Caenorhabditis elegans: one gene and its partners. The protein of the gene in region 1 purifies or fractionates together with the protein of each later gene. This does not show direct contact. Each region holds a gene or a part of one and is shown on either strand. Other genes may lie near its edges. The genes, in order: nas-16, mab-10 and F01F1.15.

Region 1 (4,715 bases):
GAGCTTTGAAGATGCGAAGCTACATATTTGCAAATACGTAGCTTTTGATCAAAACATTTTTGAAGCAATAGGTTGCTCTAGTTGCCGTTTCACGGGCATAATTGTGTAAGTCTATTTTTAAAGATATTTCATTGATTTTTTCAATATACTGACTTAATTAAATAGATTAATTTGAGCTTTTCAGAGAGGATGATGATCAGCAACACCAGTCTCCCGCCGTCTAGGGATCAATTGGCCTGCAGCCAAGCTGTCTTCAATCTGTTAATTTATTTTTTAATTGTTTTTCCATTGTTCGTTGTTGTAATAAATGCAATTCTTATTAATCTAAGATTTCAATTTCAATATGAAAATCGGCGGGAGCGAGAATAAAATCGAACCGGGCGCGTAGTGTGTGCGAAAGAAATGCGCTCGGCGCGCGAAAATTGTGCGACTAGATCGCGAGACAGTAGCCTAGTCGCGCCCCGTCCGCGCGCCAGTCGCACCCTCGTCGCGCGCCAAGCGAGCCAAACTACCGAGTAGTCCATTTTTGAGAAAATGATTCAGTTGCGATTTGTCTTTTCTGCCGGTTTTTCGTTTGTAAAATTAAGTCGTATTGCCTTTTGGTTAGCATAACATCTCCATCAAACATTATATTTTTTGTCAAGCTTGGTATAAATTTATACAAATCTTCTGGAATCACTGATCCGGATGCCAGAACAACACATAAAATAACAGACACTGGCAAAGCATTTTCATGAAAATATTATTTCAAAAATTTGACGATATTTATATAGTTCAAAAAAATGAATTTCAACAAGATTCTCATGATTATGCAAGAAGAAAATGATTTTCAAACAAAAACTTTACATATAAAATATGGATCAAGGAAGTGTTGAGAAGTTTTTCAAATTAATTCAAGTTCATGGAGAAAATCTATCAAAGGGACCTTGAATTTGTGAAAGATTGTTAATTCCATAAAACTAGTAGGTACTACAAAAAACTGGACACAAGCGTGCAAATCGATAGAAATTCACACGTTATTAAAATCTGTTGCCAAAAATTTGAACATTTCGTCGAGTGTGATCAGTGTGAAAGTCTGGTTTGATTCATTGATTGTTGTTGTATGTGAAGGTATTGCAAGAAAAAATGTTTTCCAGTTTAATAATGACACACGTATGGAAACTTTATTATTTTATTCAGAACAAATCACCAAACGAAAATTTAGGCATAATATTCATAGTTATCATATCCATTTGTGGTTTTATTGTAGCTACTCAAGCGTTCATTCACATATCTGTAATGGAAGGTCACTTTGTTTTTCCCGAGAAATGTATAAATATTAATCAAAAGTGGATTCAGCTTGGCTTTGTATCCCTTGTTGGATGGGTCCACTTGATTCTCACAGCAAATACTGTAATCAATTTTAATTGTTATTCGATGACTTGAAGAAAGTACCCACATTGGATTAGTGATTCTTGGATCCCCCATGTATTTAATCTCCACTCCATTATTATTGCAACCAGAGTCACACGAGAAATTTTCTATTTTCACAATTTTAACTTCAATAATTTTATCTTTCGGAGCATTTATTGAGATAAACGCTTTAACGGGGTCTGTAGTATCTCTCAAAACACTACTTCCAACAGAAATCCAGGATCCTTTCCAATACGAATCTGCACTTAACTGGACACTACAAGCAACCTGAAAAATACAGTTTTAAAAATACCGATAGAAACTAATTCAGATAATAAACTAACTACTCGATCACATAACACTCCTCCATATCCCAATGGACAAATACATTCCAAACAATTGGACGGATTTGTATATCCTCCATTTGCACACAATAATTCACTTGGACATTTGCAGTTGTATGCAGTGTTTATAGTTAACATATCATAAAATGTAACTCTTCGATTTCCTAGTGTTCTATAATATTCCATTTGTTTCGGAAGAAGTGAATTTGTTCCCGATACATCGGCTGTATAGTGCAAAGTGCTTCCATACTCATATGGTACAACGTTTATAGAAAAGGGAGGAGAAACAATCTCAAAATTGCTGTCGTCTTCATCATCTTTGTTCAGATTTACATTAAGAAAGTTATCTCGATCAAAACGAGCATGAGTGTGCAGAACACCCAATGCATGCATTAGTTCGTGAACGGCGGATCCAAACTAAAAATATTCGATTTAAAATAGTTATTTTCGTGTAAGATTTCCCCAAAACCTAGTATGCAAGAACTCACCCGCATGCACCAGTCAGGAAAATAAATTTCTTGTACACTGTTAATCATTCCAACATATGAAGCACAGAAAGTACTGTCAACAAATTTTATTCTCGTTGAAATAGTACAGTTTTCTTCGAAAGTAACGCAAGTTTGTGAAGATATGAAGTTCATAGCAAATTTCATTAATTTTCGTTTTACAGTATCTGAGTTTTTTTTTAATTTTAACTTTTTGAGTTGGAGCTTACTGAATGAATCGGCATTACAATAAAATACTTTAGCATTGGACCACTGTGGAGAAAATAATTTAGTCACTACTTGTCTTTTCTGACGGGTTCCTTTTCATAAGGTGTTTGAATTGTTCATTCGTTAGCAAAATATCACCTTCAATAATTATTTTTTTTGGAACGCTGGACATATGTTCATTAGCATCTTTTCCAATATCTGATCCATATATGAGAACAATTGAAAGTGTCAGATGAAAATAAAAATATTGATAAAACATTTTAGATTTTTCTAGATTTTCAGAACGATATTTTATACAGTTCAAGCTGAATTTAAACAAGTTTCCCATGATTATGCAGGAGGAAATATTCAGATAGTTCAAACCCAATGATCATGCAAAGAAAAAATAATTTTAAAAAAGTATTATATACCGTTTTCTTCATATGATTCTTGTTCCTCTACTTCTACACTGTAACAGCGCTTCTCGGTTTTTTTTAGTTTGATCCAGCTATGACTTGACTATACATAGAATTATTTGAAACGCACTTTTCATCTGAAATTGTTTTGATGAAACTAGAGACAGTCAAGACATTGACGATCAAATTGGAACAAAGGAGGTGCAAGAGTATTATAATATAAAAAATACGTAATCTCGAAACTGGTACAATTTGAAACATTTTCTCTAGAAAGTGTTCACTTGTCCACATCCAATTGTCCACAAAATAAACTTGTGTTTGGAATGACTTGGAAAAAAACATAAAATTGGGAGAAAATATTGTCTTGTGACGAGATTAAATATTTTCGGAAAATTTGTTTTGCGAAATTCATTTATTTTCTTTCGTTTAGCAGTTAAACAACTACATTTCAAATTCGTTTGGCCATCATCCAATAATAATAAGAATAATAATTTTATTCACTAACTTTGCAATATAGGTGTCAACCTTCAATTGAACATAATCATCTCCTTTGTACCGCCCATCTTGTGCACAAGGTATGCACACTGGCGGAACCCACCAGATGTCCGGTCACCATGAGAAAGGTGTTCGTTCAATTTTCTGCCATATTTAGCTTTGCGCTGGGGCGATAACGTGACCAATGAGGCTTTGCCGAGGTGCGTTTATTGCTGGTTGAAAACTTTTCCCAATTGCCCGCGATGTCCCCTGAAACATGGGTGGCATACGCAATTTTTGAACGCCTCCAGGAGGCAGAACAATTTCTCAAATTTTCTTCTGTTTTGTTGGTTACTTGTGGTTTGTTCAAGAAATTTCAAATGGACTGAAATGAGTTTACCTTCCTGATACATTTAGTTAACGACGATGAGCCGAAAACTTTTTGCATGTTCTAATACAATTATATGCCAAACTTTATTCAACAACAGAAAATAACGAACTCATTGTTCCTGCTTTACAAATTTCGGATCTCCCGTCACACCAGCATGTTGAATCTCCCCAGGCAAATCGAAGACGGCTTTTTTGGAAAAAGGTGCATTCTGGAATAATTTTGTTTGTACTTCTAAGTGAATATTCTAAAACCTTTCCGATTTGCTCGTCCAATGAGATAACACCAGTCGGGAAACTTGAAGTTACCACGAGAAGAAGAACAAATAAAGGGAAGAGAAGACGCATGATTGAGTCAGTTGATTTTATCAGCCAGATTGCAATTTTATACTACCAGCTTTTCTCACAATTAGCATTATTCAAAGTTTGACGTTTTTTAAATGCAAATCATGAGAAATTCGATGAAAATATAAGACTCTGTGTACAGTAACTCGATTCATACAATCGAAATGAAATTGGTTTCCCTCCTTCTTCTCTTCACAATCTTCTTGTCGGGATTGACTCTTCGCCTCGAAGAAGATCTTTCTGCAGTCTATATTGATCATGGAGAAATTATCGTTGAGGACAAGCCCGATCTTCCAGGAAGTGTTTTGTCTCCAGAAGGCAATCCTCCAACTCACGTCACCTACCAAGATGTCGGAGAAGCGACTACTAAACGAATTTATCACTGAACTGTTTTTGCCAACTGATAAATGATTTTATTATTTTGGTACAAAATATAAAGTTTGATAACGACTTCAAATATAATTTGAATTTGTGCCCAAAAGTCATTTGCATCACGATTGCTACATTTTTCGAATAATTCTCTGAAAAATATTGTATTTTTTCGAATTTGGATTTTGAAGATAATTGAAAAATTCGCGTGCAGACTCATATTTTCATTTTGATCCAAGTTTTTTTCCAACAAACTTATCAACATTTCACCCGGTCTTGTTTCCAGTTTCTATTCT
Region 2 (8,810 bases), on another chromosome or scaffold:
TTTTTTAATATATTAAAGCAAAACTATTGTTACGGGAATCATGTCTTCCGATTTACTTGTCGTCCATCTCCCCATCTACTTTTTGTTTCCAGTCGTTAGTGAGATTTAAATCCCCTGAACTTCTCAATTATATATTTCCTGTTCTCTTTGAATTCTTTAATTTATTTGTTATAAACTTTTCTTTATTAGAAAAAATAGTTACAATTCAAGTGCATAAGAACCATGTAAACATTTTTGGGGAGAAAGTGGTGATGGGTGGAGGAGACTAGTAGAGTTGTAAAAATCTGTGAATAAAATGGACTGAAAGTGTGGCAAACATTTAGGCAATTTTTAGAAAATCTTTTTTTTACTATTCAAAGAAAAAATGACGGGATTATTCAAATTTTTGGAGCAAATTAGGCCATTTCGAATGACCGGAAAATTTGAAAATTTGATCTATTCAGAAAAATCTTTGAATTTTTTGAATTTTCACTGCATTAAATGCAAAATTTTTGTGAAAATCCTATGGGCTTTTCGCTTCGAGACCCAAAAATTTATAAAAGCAATCAACTTGCAATGCATTGGATGCGAAATTGAAGTTTTTCAGTTTTGAATTCAAATTTCTTTCTCAATAGAGCAAGACAAACATATTAAATATTTTTAAAAAATTGGAAAATGGAAAAAAAAATTATATTTAAATTATCTAATTGGGGGCGGGGCCGTGGGCGTTGGTTTTGGAACCGAACTGTGTTTAGACTCCCATTATATGAGAGCTTGGCATTGGTTTTTGAAAAACCGCCGGAAAAATGGGGGGTTTTTTGAAAACTAGACAAAAAAGTGATAGGAAGAGAAGGAAATTATATGACTCCGAGCGAAGGGGGCGGGAATTTAAATTTAAATTCAAATTCCCGCCTTGTGGGGTACAATAGAGCGTGTTTAGAATGAGAGAATTTTCGAAAACTAATGAGAATCACAGGAAACCGACCAGCGGGAGGTGTTGCAAAGATCACGAGGAAAACAAAAAATATGGAAATCCGAGCTTCAAGATTCCGGGAGCTCACCCTTCATTTTTTCGATTATCGCCGCCCATGCTTCCGGTGGAATTGGTGGCTGAAAAAAATCGATAATCAAAAAATGTTATTGTTCAAATGCAAAGTTTTATGGTTTTTGGTCTCGACATGACTGAAATAATTTGAAGAAAAAAGGGTATGCGTCTTTAAAATTACAGTAACCGTGTTGTATTGCTACTTTTTCACATTTTTTCTCTTTTACTACATTTTGCATATCGTTCACAAAAATGAAAAAACGGGAAAAAATCGAAGAAAATTGAAAAGCTGCAAGGTGGGAAGACTACTGTACGTACTCTTTAAAGGCGCACAGCATTTTTGATTTAAATTTTTTCATTTTTAATTCGTGTCGAGACCAGGTACGGTATTTTTGCATTAAAAGTAACGAACAATTTAAATGTGCCTACCCTTTCTTCCTCCTTAAAAGCACCTGAAGAACTGGACGGTTGTTCATCGAATTCCGATTCTTGAGGGGGCGGAGAGTTGCCCGGCGAGCTTATCGGACTATGCAAATCAGCTGGATCACATGGTCGTTTTCTACTTTTTGCATAGTTATATCCAGCATCTTTGACAATTTGTCGAGCCAACGGAAACAGCTCATCCCGTCGTGTCAAAAGAGACGGAACGAGAAGACATAGCTGAGCAGCTGCTTCATTTACAGTTGTCTCATGAAGTGTCAAAACTTTATGGGGCTTCCGTTTAGTGTCAAAACGTCCGTAAATTGCAGAATACTTGCGAAACGCGTGGATCATTGATGGAGTTGCTGGAGAGCATTTGAGGAGTTCTATGACTTCTCTGAAATTTCAAAAAATTATAAAATAGTCTGAATCCATTCTGACTCACTTTGAAACTCGTTTCTTATTCTGCACCAACCTCGGCGGAAGTGGCGGGAGATTCTTGGAAGCCGCCAGAGCACACTCAGCGAGACGGGATATTTGAGCAGTTGATAGAGTCGGATTTTCAGTTAGTGATGGATTATCTGGAAAATTAATTTTAACATTGAAGTTTTTCTTTTATAAAAGCTTTCACAGCAGTGTTTCTTTTCAGGTAAACTATGACATGGCACCTTTTCTATACTGTAAGATTACTGTAGGATTATTGTAGTTTCAGAAAAACTGAGTTATTTTTATGGAGACGGATATGGGCGAGGCAATCTTGTAAAACTGTAGGTTACTGTAGGAGTACTGTAGGACTATTGATTTTTTTTAGAAAACTGAGCTTTGGGTTTTTGAAAGATCGGTGAGTTGAGGTTAGTGAAAAGGTTACTGTAGTAGCATTTAATAGACTTTTCAAAAAAACAATTTTTTTTTGTCTTTTGACACTTTTTTTTACCAAGTCCTACTATGATTATTTTCGGCTAGAGCATAAACTTTAGAAAAACGAACTTGGATCAAAATCTCCCAATGAAACGAAATCATTGCCATATGGTTGTGAATAACCAACACCTAAAAAAGGAGAGGACGACCCCTCTTTTTCTTGGCCGGTGATGGACGATGATCGTCCAAATGAAGTGGATGGTTGTTGAATGGATGTGCTAGATGGAGGGACGACGAGGTGGCGTGTAACGCTTGCTGCACCACTAAAATTGAGGCCAATGCTGTTTCCGGAGAATACGTTGGCGGTGGCTCTCGATGATGGTGGCGGAACTGCGGCGGAGACATTGGTGGTGGTGGCGGGGAGGATTCCAGCAGGGAGCTCAGGGTGGGATGTGTTTGAGCTGGTTGAGGGGAGCACGCTTCGAACAGATGAGGTGGATGATGACTGTTGATCAGAGGCCAGAGACTCGAGTAGAGGAGTGGAGAACTTGAACGCTGAAATTTTGGGATTCGTTGAGTTGAGGGAATATTCAAAAATCGCTTAAAATCATGAATGGGACAGTATAAGCACAAGTATAACACAAACTGAGTATGCTAATCTACGCGCTGAATATAGTGCATTGATGAAGCCTTGGAGTCGGTGCTAACTTAATTTCGATCTTTGTAACACATGTTGGTAATTGAAGCGGTACAATTAGTTCAATTTAGAAAAAAACAAAAAAAAACTCAAAAATGTGAACCATTATTTTACTATTTCATAACAAATATCTCAAAAACTTAAAATAAAGAACTAAAAACAAAAATTGTGCATTATGGACATGCGTGTGCTACCAAACGCCCAGCGACAAAGACTAACCCAACGGTACCGAATTCGACGATGTCGTGTTCAGATTCAGTGACGGAGACGATGATGACGTGTCTGCTGCTTCGGATGGTGTCGAAACTTTTTCAGCAACTGACGACAGCTGACTCAAAAATCGGAGACTCGGGAATTTCGGCGACGTGGCAGCGGCGATTCCGGGTAGCAGAAGAGCCATCGGATCAGTACCCGCAGGTGTGTAGTTCAGTGGTGGTGGTGGACCGATTTGTTGAAGAGCTGCCAGGTTGAATGCAGTCTGATCCTGACTATACTCAGCAAGTGCTCTCTGCATCCGCCGGACATGAAGAGGCTTCGGAAGCATTCCCACAAGATTCATAATTTCCAGAAATTCTCTCTCCTCGCATGCCATGATCTGATTGATATCGTCGCCACCTGAAACAAATTTACCTTATAATAGAAAATTCACAAAGAAGAATCCTTACCTTGTGCTATGAAAACATCATAGTACTGAACTAAATTCGCTTTGCTCAGTACAGCCAACAATTGCCACTCGGATAGAGTCGTTGGTGTCGGCATCGGTTTGGGAGAACTAAAAAATTTCATAAATACTTTCCCTTATCACCAGAAATCGATAAAAATGATTGACTTACACAGGGCGATCTGCATTGCTGGTTGATTGACGTTGTGATGATGATGATGAAGAGGTGGGTATTGATGAAGTGGATTGAGTTGTAAGAGATGATAAAATTGATGGAGAAGATGAAGACGAGCTAAGTATGGACTCCAAGTGATGTGCTAGAATTTTACTAATTTTTCTGATGTCCTGATCGTCGGGACTTACATGCTGATGGTCTTGATGTGATCGACGAAGTCGTTGTTGACGCAGATGATGTGGGTAACGACGACGACGACGATGATGACATGATGCCTTCTGAAGGCACACAAGTTGAGGTACGCTCCCAATCCAGATCGACGGAAGGGCAGCGGCTATCGAATAGCCTCAGTATCCTGAAAATGAGTTGTTGAATATGAGATTCTGGAGTCTACTACAGAACTAGTACTTTTTGTCTCAAAGCAAAGGAGATTCAGGAGAAACTTTTCGGCAACAACTCGGTAAAATATAAAAAAAAGCTGTTGATAGGCAGTTGCTAGGTAATTTTTTTAACATCAAAATGTCGTTGGAAAGTTGCAAAAGTTCGACAGGAAGTTGTAAACTGTCAAAGTTTTACAGGACGCTGCCTCCAAAACCTCCGAGCCAAGTTGGTATATATTATTTTTATAATCAACTACAGAAAACACACTGATTGTATGCTTAAAGAGAAAATATCAAACAATTATTAGAAGGTACGTGTAAACTACTAGAAATTAAATATTGTAAGCTGATTTATATTTTTCCCAGAATGAAAATTAATTGAAAAATGCTGAACTACTGTATTAACTGCTTTACAACACTGTAGGTTCCCTATCGAAGTCATAAAAAAGGTTTGCAAAAAAGGTTAGAATAGAGTGAAGAAGAGAAGAAAATGGGAACATATCGACACAGAAAAGAGAGTGGTATGGCCCCCGATCCCTGTTCAAAAAACCCCAGCGTCCGCCTATCTACATCCCTGACGAAATAGTGTCTTAAACTAAGAGTGCACCCATACATCTAACTATAGGTCAAAAAAACTCGGCGGCGCGCCCGGACGCAAACGACGACACAAGAAACATAGAAAAACCGGCAAACCATTGGGCGAGAAAAAGCGTTTAAAACATAGAGACACAGAGACAATCCTACAAAAAACGTCTCTCGCCACTGGGCTTCTTCGGTCGTTCGGACGCGGGACGGACCGGGAGGTGAGAATGGAGAAATAGGAGGGAGGGAATAGTACGGGAATCGGGGGAGATTTAGAGAGAAAAAGAACCGATGAAAAAACCAAAGAGGCGTCGTTCGATTATTATTTGAAATGTTCGGTTTACTATGCGAACGATTGAGGTGACTGTGTGTGTGTATACACAGGATGGGCTTGGGAGGAACGGGACAAAAAAGTGACCTTTGTTGACAAGTGGATGTCTGGGGATACGAAAGTTCAAAATTTACAGTAATCGGGGTCAGACTTCAGAGAGATTTTGGTAGCTTATCTCCTATATCTATTAACTTCTGACTAACAGAAATACTTTCAAGTTTTGGTGTTTCTTACCGATATGATAAAATATTTAGGCGGATAGTTTTCTTCCTGTTTGGACAAATAGATGTCTAGAAGCTATAAGAGCATACTAATCAAAACTCAAGCTCCTCCTCCTTCTTCCAATTCAGCTGTTCTCATCCAACAGTACCACCATCTGTTTGACCTCTTCTTCACCTCGTTCCATCGCTTTTTCCAACTGAAAAACCGCTCCGAAAACGTCCTTTTCGAGGCTGGCGCGCGCACGCTCATTCTTCTAGCAAAAAAAGCCCCCATGAAATTGTCTGCACATGTCCATGAATTGATGAAAATAGTGTAGACATGGGAGGAGATGCGCGCAGTATGAGGTGAACAGAAAAAAAATTGGGAAGCGATGAAGGGAGAGAAGGTCGACGACGAACAGGCGGATGGGACACAACGGGGAATAGGTGGGAGGTTCGAGAAAAAAATGGGAGAAATGGAGAAAATAGACATAAAGTGAAGAGTGACATTCATAACTAATAATCTAGAAGTTACAGTATCTCCCAACGGACGAAACTAGTGATCTCCGGCAATTCTGGAAACTGTCCGAGCTCGGTCGATTCGGCAAGTACTACATCAGGGGTGTGCGTCAAATTCGCCGAGTTTGTCGTTTGCCGAATTTGCCGAGCCGACAAATTTTAAAAATGTGGATTAGCTGATTTTGCCAAATTTGCCGTGCTCGGCAAATACTAAAAAAGTCCATTGTCAAATTTGCCACACTCCTGACACGGAGGCCTTATAGTTAGTTTCTGAACTCTAGACCTCCTAGTCAAACAAATCAAAACTAAGGCTTTGGTGGAAGGCAGGCGCGTTTTCAGATCCTGGTGCATGCCTGAGACCTGCCTGCCTTCCGTTCTTTTCTCATTTCAGTCAATTTGATAGTTAAAAAAAGAAAAAACTAAAAACCTTACCTGATACAGTTCTAACTCCGCAGACGACGAAAACGGGATGACGTGGTTCTCTACCGACGAAACCATTCAGCCCGTGTCTCCGAATATCATTCGCGTCTGGCGCCGCACAAGGTCCGGGCACGACCGGGTCAGGAGGCTGTGGAACAGTGAGGCCGGGGTCTATAATAAAAAAGTGGTTGGATAGAGGTGGAGGTGATAACTGATAATATGCAACGCTAGAAAAAAAGGAAAAAAATTAAGAGAACATAGGTCAACTGGAGGGGGGAACACGCGTGCGTTGAAAAAAAAGCAAAGGCATTGAGAAATCGAGAGGAACAGAGGAACAGACAGAGCCAGAATAGTGCAGCCACACTCTATATTCTCTCTGCAATCTCTCATCTTCTCCATACTATTTCTCATTCAGTGATATCAGCAGTGGCGCGGCGTCTTCTCAGCGGCGGTGGTACCGGTCGCGGACACCCAGGGCAGAATTGCCCGGGGGGGCGCAAGTGACCCCCACAGACCACGGGGGGACGCATGAGGGAAAAAATGGCTGGCACTGCCTGGGGGCGACGGCAGTGTTGCTGCACAAAAAGTGCGTCTACACTCTCTTCGCTTTACTTGCTCTTTCTGCACTTTTTCTGCTGCCCTCGGCCGCGTCCATTTTTTGTGTGTTACTGGCAGCGGTACCAGTCCGGTGCCGACCCAAGGAGCCCAAAGGTCTCTGGAAGAGCAATTGATATGATCAGAAGCAGTGGAAGGCATGAAGAGCAGTTGAAGAAGGGGGATTCAAGTTGGTGTTTGGGATAGTGAGACTTTTTTTAAACCGCTGAATCACTGGAGAAGTACTACATGAGTACTGTAGACTGTATATGTGATGTTGTATATGTTATTGATATGAGTACTGTTGAGTACAGTAAGGCCGCAAAATTATTTTGAAACTCATCTTATTCGATTTTTTTTTCAGAATTCACCAAAACAAATGTGTGGTGGAATTCAATAATGTTCGTAACTTCAAAAGAGGATTTTATCAAAAGTTGCCAAATATATTTTGTTAAAAGCGTTTTTTCGGCGAAAAGGTTGCTGAAATACTTGTATTCTAAAAATCATTAGTATAATTTGAACATGTTTTCAAACAAAAGTATAATTCGTTACAGTAATGCCAAGATTGAATCCTGGAAAACACCTTCTTTCATAAAAATGAAAATTTTGAAAAATGGTTTTTACTGATTCGTAGAACAAAATTGTAAGCAGATGGCGTGGTTCTTGAAACTTCTGGATTAATCCATCTGAAAAAATTCCGACTGATGATTTTGATAATGTGTTGTTTGATCAAAAAACGAAATGGAACTGATGCTTTAGGATTTTTCTAATTTCATCTCACTGCAAAATATACAGAATCTATTGTATTTGGAGTAGTAAACAATTTGATTGTTATAGTTTTTACAAAAAAATATTTTGAAAATTCTGGAAAGTTGGTAACTAAGAGTTTCTTCACAGTTTTATCTTCAGAAACTTTGAGGGCTCATCGTGAGATTGGTTCTGGAAACTCGTATTTAGAAGTTCATAAACTTGTGGGATGTTGATATGTTTGCATGGCAGAATGCAAGAGGATTTGGTGGAATTGAGGTATGTATCAACACGTTTTTTAAAATAAAATCAAAACATTTTCAGACAAAATGTTAGTTTTCAGACAGCATAACTTCCATGTTATGTACCTACCTTCTTCTGACGTATCAAATTCTACTATTCAATTGTACGGAGAACCCTCAACGTTGCCTTACAGTTAGTGGGGTGCTTCATTACCCATATACACTTGAAAGTGCTCTAGTTTTTTATGAAACTTCTGAAAATCAATAATATGGTTATGGTGATTATTTGGCAAAGCGCACGTGGACAGAAGATAGGATTGCTTATCCGTGGTTTGGTCTGCCAAGAAATTCTTCAATGTCAGTTATCAAGCTCAAGTTCCCTGCTCTCCGAGTGGTCATGAATGGTACGGCTGTTTTTGGCGATTCTGCTGCCATGAAACTCTAAAAAAAACTTATATTTAGTCTTGCTCGTTTACTGAAATGCGTCCGAACTTAACAGGAAAAAGAAAGATATAGCTTTTTTTATTGATTATTATGTAATTCTATTTTTTCTGAATAAATTCGTGCATAACAATATTATTTGAATTTGAGCAAAAACTCAAAACTACTTCGAGAATTTTGATGTGTGTTTTTGCTGCTTGCTTAGACATAACTTAGACAGTGAGCACCGGCGTAGGTGTGCTGGCTCGGTGCACACAGTGTAAATTACCATCAAATGAAACTGTAATGAACAGTCTTTGTAAAAGTGCAAACCGCCCATTTATTTCATCTATTTTCTCGTTTCACACTGTAATTATTGTGTGAGTGGGGATGAGAATGACTAGCTCAGTACTACTCTCAGTGGAACATATTGGTTAGTTTTACAATTCTAATGCACAAAGTTGTGGTTTTTAAAAAATAAATGTTTAATGTTCAATGAGCGAGACCCGTTTAAAAAATGAACCGTATTTCTTCTAGTAC
Region 3 (4,234 bases), on another chromosome or scaffold:
ACCACAAAAATATGAATAACTCAAATAGAAGTAAGTTTAAAAATAATAATTTTATTCAAAAATTAAAAAATGTTCTTTATAGTAATTCCGTTTGCTTTCAAAAGCTCTGAACACGGCTCATACGAAGATGAGATGATGGAAATGGAAGACGTAGTCGATGTAGAGGACTATATGGGCGGAGAAAAATATGATTCTTATAATGATGCAAAAGAAGATATTAAAGATTTTAAGACGACTCAAAGAATGAAAAAAATCCATCGAATGGGTAAAAAAATTATCAATAAAATATTAAAAGTTCAATTATTGTTTCAGAAAAAATTGAGCAAAACATTGCCTCAGAGAAAATCGATATAATCGAGCTTGGAACACGTGTGATGGTGTCGACATCGGATAAAACGCTCAATGAAGCTTCATTGGAGAGAACCATCCGTTGCGGAATATCTGAAGCCACATTTCTCGGAGATATTTCTATGGAATCGCTGGTAGAAGGTATGGTGAATCCATCGGCGGCTGATGGAAGGTTTGCAATGCTTGGAACGTCTATTATGGTCAGAATTCTGATAGCCCGGAATTCAAAATTCCATTTTTTGATTTTTCAGCTAAATGCGCTAAAGTCAAACATTAAAGACCTGAGAGGAACAATTGTAGGACAGACGACCAACACAAATTCAGAGTCAAAATTCGATAAAATCGATTTAAGTCTAATGAATCTCTCGCATTGCCAACAAACTTCTTACAATATTCGAGCAACAGGTGTATTCTCTGTGAGTTTTTTTTTGTTTCAGCTTCTATGAAAAAATGCCAAATTTTAGAATGCCGATCTTCAATATGTGTTCAGTTTGCTGACGTTCCGCAGAAACGCAAAACTTCTCAACAAAACCAAGCAGTTTATAAAAGCATATTTTTGTGTTGCGTGCCGTCCGAGATGCATGATCTGGAGATATACTTTAAGAAGAGCTGGAAATAGTCAAAGAAGAGCCATTCTTAACTTACCATCCGCCATTGTTTCAACTATTACTCGTAAGTTTTAAATAAAAAAAGAGAATCCATGGGCTTTTTCCAATATTTGGAAACAATTTTCGTTTTTTCAAAAAATAGTTTTAAATGTTGACCTTTTTTCCTTTTTAGATGGCAATTATATGTTTTTCCTTAATAATATTGATTGATAACAGTATAAGCCTAATTTGATTTAAACAAAACATTTTTTTGTTGTAAAATTGCTAAACTTTTTTTTTGATTTTCTCAGAAAAAAAATCCATAAAAAATTTCAATGATACCCTTGCCAATAATCAATTTTTATTGTTTTTTCCAGAGTTTCTGCTCGATTTGACAGGAATTAGCGATGCAAACATCCCATACGATCAGCTCGATCCAATGACACCACTATCAATTTCACTTGGAGAAGATGAATCAATGCGTGTTCAACGATATGAAGAAGCTTGTCGATTGAAGGATCCATTGACGAGATTCTTTCGAGATGCAATTACAGATTGCTTGTAAGTGCCTGAATCCTTGAAAATACATTGAATTAAATTTCAGAAATGAGCTCCGAGAGATGCCGTTTTGCCTGAACACGGGCATTCTGTTGAGCCCGTTGCGTGGTCGAGAACAAGGAACTTCTTGTGTTACATGGAAAGATTATGAAGGATTTTTGAAAAGAGAACACGATCTGCCTTCCGAAGCGAATATGAAGAAGCGAACGCAGTTTGAGTAAGTTTAAAAAATAATTTCGATTTTAAAATCCTTAAAATTTGCATTCAGTTATAAGTGTAATTTTTTTTTGGAAAAAGCGTAAAATTTGAAAATCAATTATATTTTCAGTTACCGACAGGATAACAGAATTTTTCTCTATTTTCGCTCCCTTTTTTTCGAAAAATACCAAAAATAAAATTTCATTGCTGCTCGCTGTTGCGGAGCGTTCTTTAGTTTTTCACTACAGTACTACTTTTGAAAAAATTGTACGTGACGAGGCCGGGTAACATATCTTTGAGACGAGATTTCAGAGTTCATATCTGAATAGTATTAAAATTAAATTTCCAGACAACGGCTCTGCGACATTATTCCACGTGTACGTCGACCGGTTCCCAATTGAAAAAATGTTTAACTTATCAATTTTCGATCTCTTGAATACGTTGTTTCCAATCAACTTTAATGAATAATATTCATGTTTTATTCGTGAAGAAAAGTACCATTTACACAAACACTGGATACCTATCCAAACACCGTTCTTTTTCTTTTCTTTCTGCCACTCTCCCAATCATTGTTTGCTCTCTCTCTCTCTCCGCTTCACTTGGTCATTATCGACGCTTTTTAACCATTTATTCAGAATGCATTTTGTTTCTACACTGGTTTGTCTCATATCACTGTCGGGTATTCAATCTGCATCGGTTTCTTCATTAGAGTGTGGAGGTTGATAGATTTTTCTAAAATATATTTTTAAATATTGAAAATTTCAGCCTGCTCCCTCCTCGTAACCCATTTCGAGCTGAAAATCGCCGCAGTCGACCCGAAAAAGAAAATCGAAGTTGGAAGTTTCCGAGTTTCACCAACTGGAGATCAAAAAGGGCTCAAGGAAATCGGCTATGCTCGTTCAGAATCTCATTTGACAGAAATCATTGAGCACGCTTGTGATGATGCGAAACACTATAAACTTGTGGTAAGAACCATAAATTGTATAGATTTTTACAAATTTCTCTTCAGGTGAATACAATTACTGGAAAATCAGTCTACGTTCACAACGACGCCACACATTTGAAAGGAGATGAGTCTCCCAAAATGAGATATAATCTTCAAAACGCTGTAAGTTCAAGCACGGGATTCCAAACTCTAGTTATTATTAGAAAACAATCCCTAATGAGAATTAAGAACTTTTTCAGTTTTTTGCAGAAAACTTCAGTCTTGATTTTTTAATTTAAATTTCTAAATTTTAGTGCAACGACTTCATTGACTCTCACGAAGATGAGCTTCTTGGTTTCCTGAAGACCGCCCATCAGGATCCCGTCAAACAGTTCTGCCAAGGAGAAATGGGTGCTTGCACTGCTGTCGATGTGGCACCTCTACCTGCTGCTCCAGAAGAACCAATGGATCTTTCTGATATTCCAGATGATGAAATTGACAGAAAAGAACTTTAAATTAAATTTTCCTTTTTTAAATTAGTAATTTATGAATTTCAACTCGTTTGCGGGATCTGGAAATTGTGCTATATCGTTATCTGTTTGAATTTTAATTTATATGTGATTTGTTTTGTGATATAAACTTCAAGTTTTTCCTTTCGTGAAATGCTAAGGGTAAAGTTGAAATCAATTGAAATATCGCAGAGCCTCTTGATCTTGACTTACAATTCTATTTATAATTAGATGACGATTTCTCCAATTGACACACTCGAAGAGCTCTGGAGTTGGAAATCACGAGAAGATGTTGGCGAGCAATACAGTGAGCAACTGGTTAACTTTAAGTAATTTTTATGAAATTTCAGAAAGAAAATTAATTTTCTACCTGGCAATAAGAATAGTGTTAAATATTTTTAGCCCGAATGCGAAAAAAATGGTTTTGGCGCGAGCCAATTTTTTCAGCTACAGTACCCAGTAGTATGGTAGACTTACATAATATTTGGTTTTTACTTAGTTTTAAACTTTTTTTGATAACTTTATTGATAAACAATAGTCACAGTCACAGTCACAGGACAAAAGCTTCGATCGTGCTGAGACCTAAAATCATGGATTTTCCCTACTATATGGCAAAATTTCAGACCACATTCGGGTCGTCAAATCCTCGTATGCCACGATATGCGTGGTGGATATTTGGAAGAGGAGTCTACGGAAGGAAAGAAATTCGAAAAAGACCGGTACCCGTACATGTTCTTGAATTGGTGGCAAATCGACATTTTCAACTACTTTTCACATCATTTTGTGACGATTCCACCGGAAGATTATACACGAATTGCTCATAAACATGGTATAAAATATTAAATCTAAAAATCGAAATAACACAAAACATGCCCGTCCATTTCTTGGTTTTTAAGTCAAAGTATCCCAATTTCAGGTGTTCTTTCACTTGGAACATTCATCACGGAATGGATTCCAGGATACGATATTTGTTCGAAAATCTTGGAAAATGAGGGTTCGGTAGAAAAAACAGTGGACTGTCTGGTGGCTGTTGCGAGATTTTTTGGATTTGATGGATGGTTGATTAATATTGAAAATAAAATTGATGCAGGAAAAATCGATTTGTTGAT

The links.
Region 2: the proteins of nas-16 (region 1) and mab-10 fractionate together in Caenorhabditis elegans (co-fractionation; one large-scale study listed by BioGRID). This does not show direct contact.
Region 3: the proteins of nas-16 (region 1) and F01F1.15 fractionate together in Caenorhabditis elegans (co-fractionation; one large-scale study listed by BioGRID). This does not show direct contact.

The regions. Positions count from the first base shown.
Region 1 is NC_003283.11:11,389,994-11,394,708, reverse strand, and holds nas-16 (Zinc metalloproteinase nas-16), read right to left. Parts: upstream 2,390-4,715; coding exon 2,225-2,389; intron 2,154-2,224; coding exon 1,737-2,153; intron 1,681-1,736; coding exon 1,439-1,680; intron 1,391-1,438; coding exon 1,201-1,390; downstream 1-1,200. Other genes in the region: K03B8.14 (uncharacterized protein), read right to left, coding at 3,819-3,917, 3,961-4,053; K03B8.11 (uncharacterized protein), read left to right, coding at 4,215-4,436. UniProt on the Caenorhabditis elegans protein: Metalloprotease.
Region 2 is NC_003280.10:10,525,717-10,534,526, reverse strand, and holds mab-10 (NAB transcription cofactor mab-10), read right to left. Parts: upstream 6,444-8,810; 5' UTR 6,280-6,443; intron 5,155-6,279; exon of another isoform or gene 4,729-5,154; intron 4,191-4,728; 5' UTR 4,106-4,190; coding exon 4,024-4,105; intron 3,978-4,023; coding exon 3,833-3,977; intron 3,772-3,832; coding exon 3,665-3,771; intron 3,615-3,664; coding exon 3,219-3,614; intron 2,858-3,218; coding exon 2,432-2,857; intron 2,026-2,431; coding exon 1,890-2,025; intron 1,842-1,889; coding exon 1,454-1,841; intron 1,090-1,453; coding exon 1,021-1,089; 3' UTR 147-1,020; downstream 1-146. UniProt on the Caenorhabditis elegans protein: Transcriptional cofactor. Heterochronic protein, involved in timing of a subset of differentiation events during the larval-to-adult transition.
Region 3 is NC_003281.10:5,867,622-5,871,855, reverse strand, and holds F01F1.15 (DUF3456 domain-containing protein), read left to right. Parts: upstream 1-2,326; 5' UTR 2,327-2,327; coding exon 2,328-2,409; intron 2,410-2,456; coding exon 2,457-2,656; intron 2,657-2,700; coding exon 2,701-2,799; intron 2,800-2,930; coding exon 2,931-3,131; 3' UTR 3,132-3,266; downstream 3,267-4,234. Other genes in the region: F01F1.11 (PAP-associated domain-containing protein), read left to right, coding at 12-30, 83-265, 313-548, 600-764, 813-1,020, 1,313-1,496, 1,540-1,710, 2,041-2,092; eng-1 (mannosyl-glycoprotein endo-beta-N-acetylglucosaminidase), read left to right, coding at 3,357-3,454, 3,749-3,954, 4,042-4,234.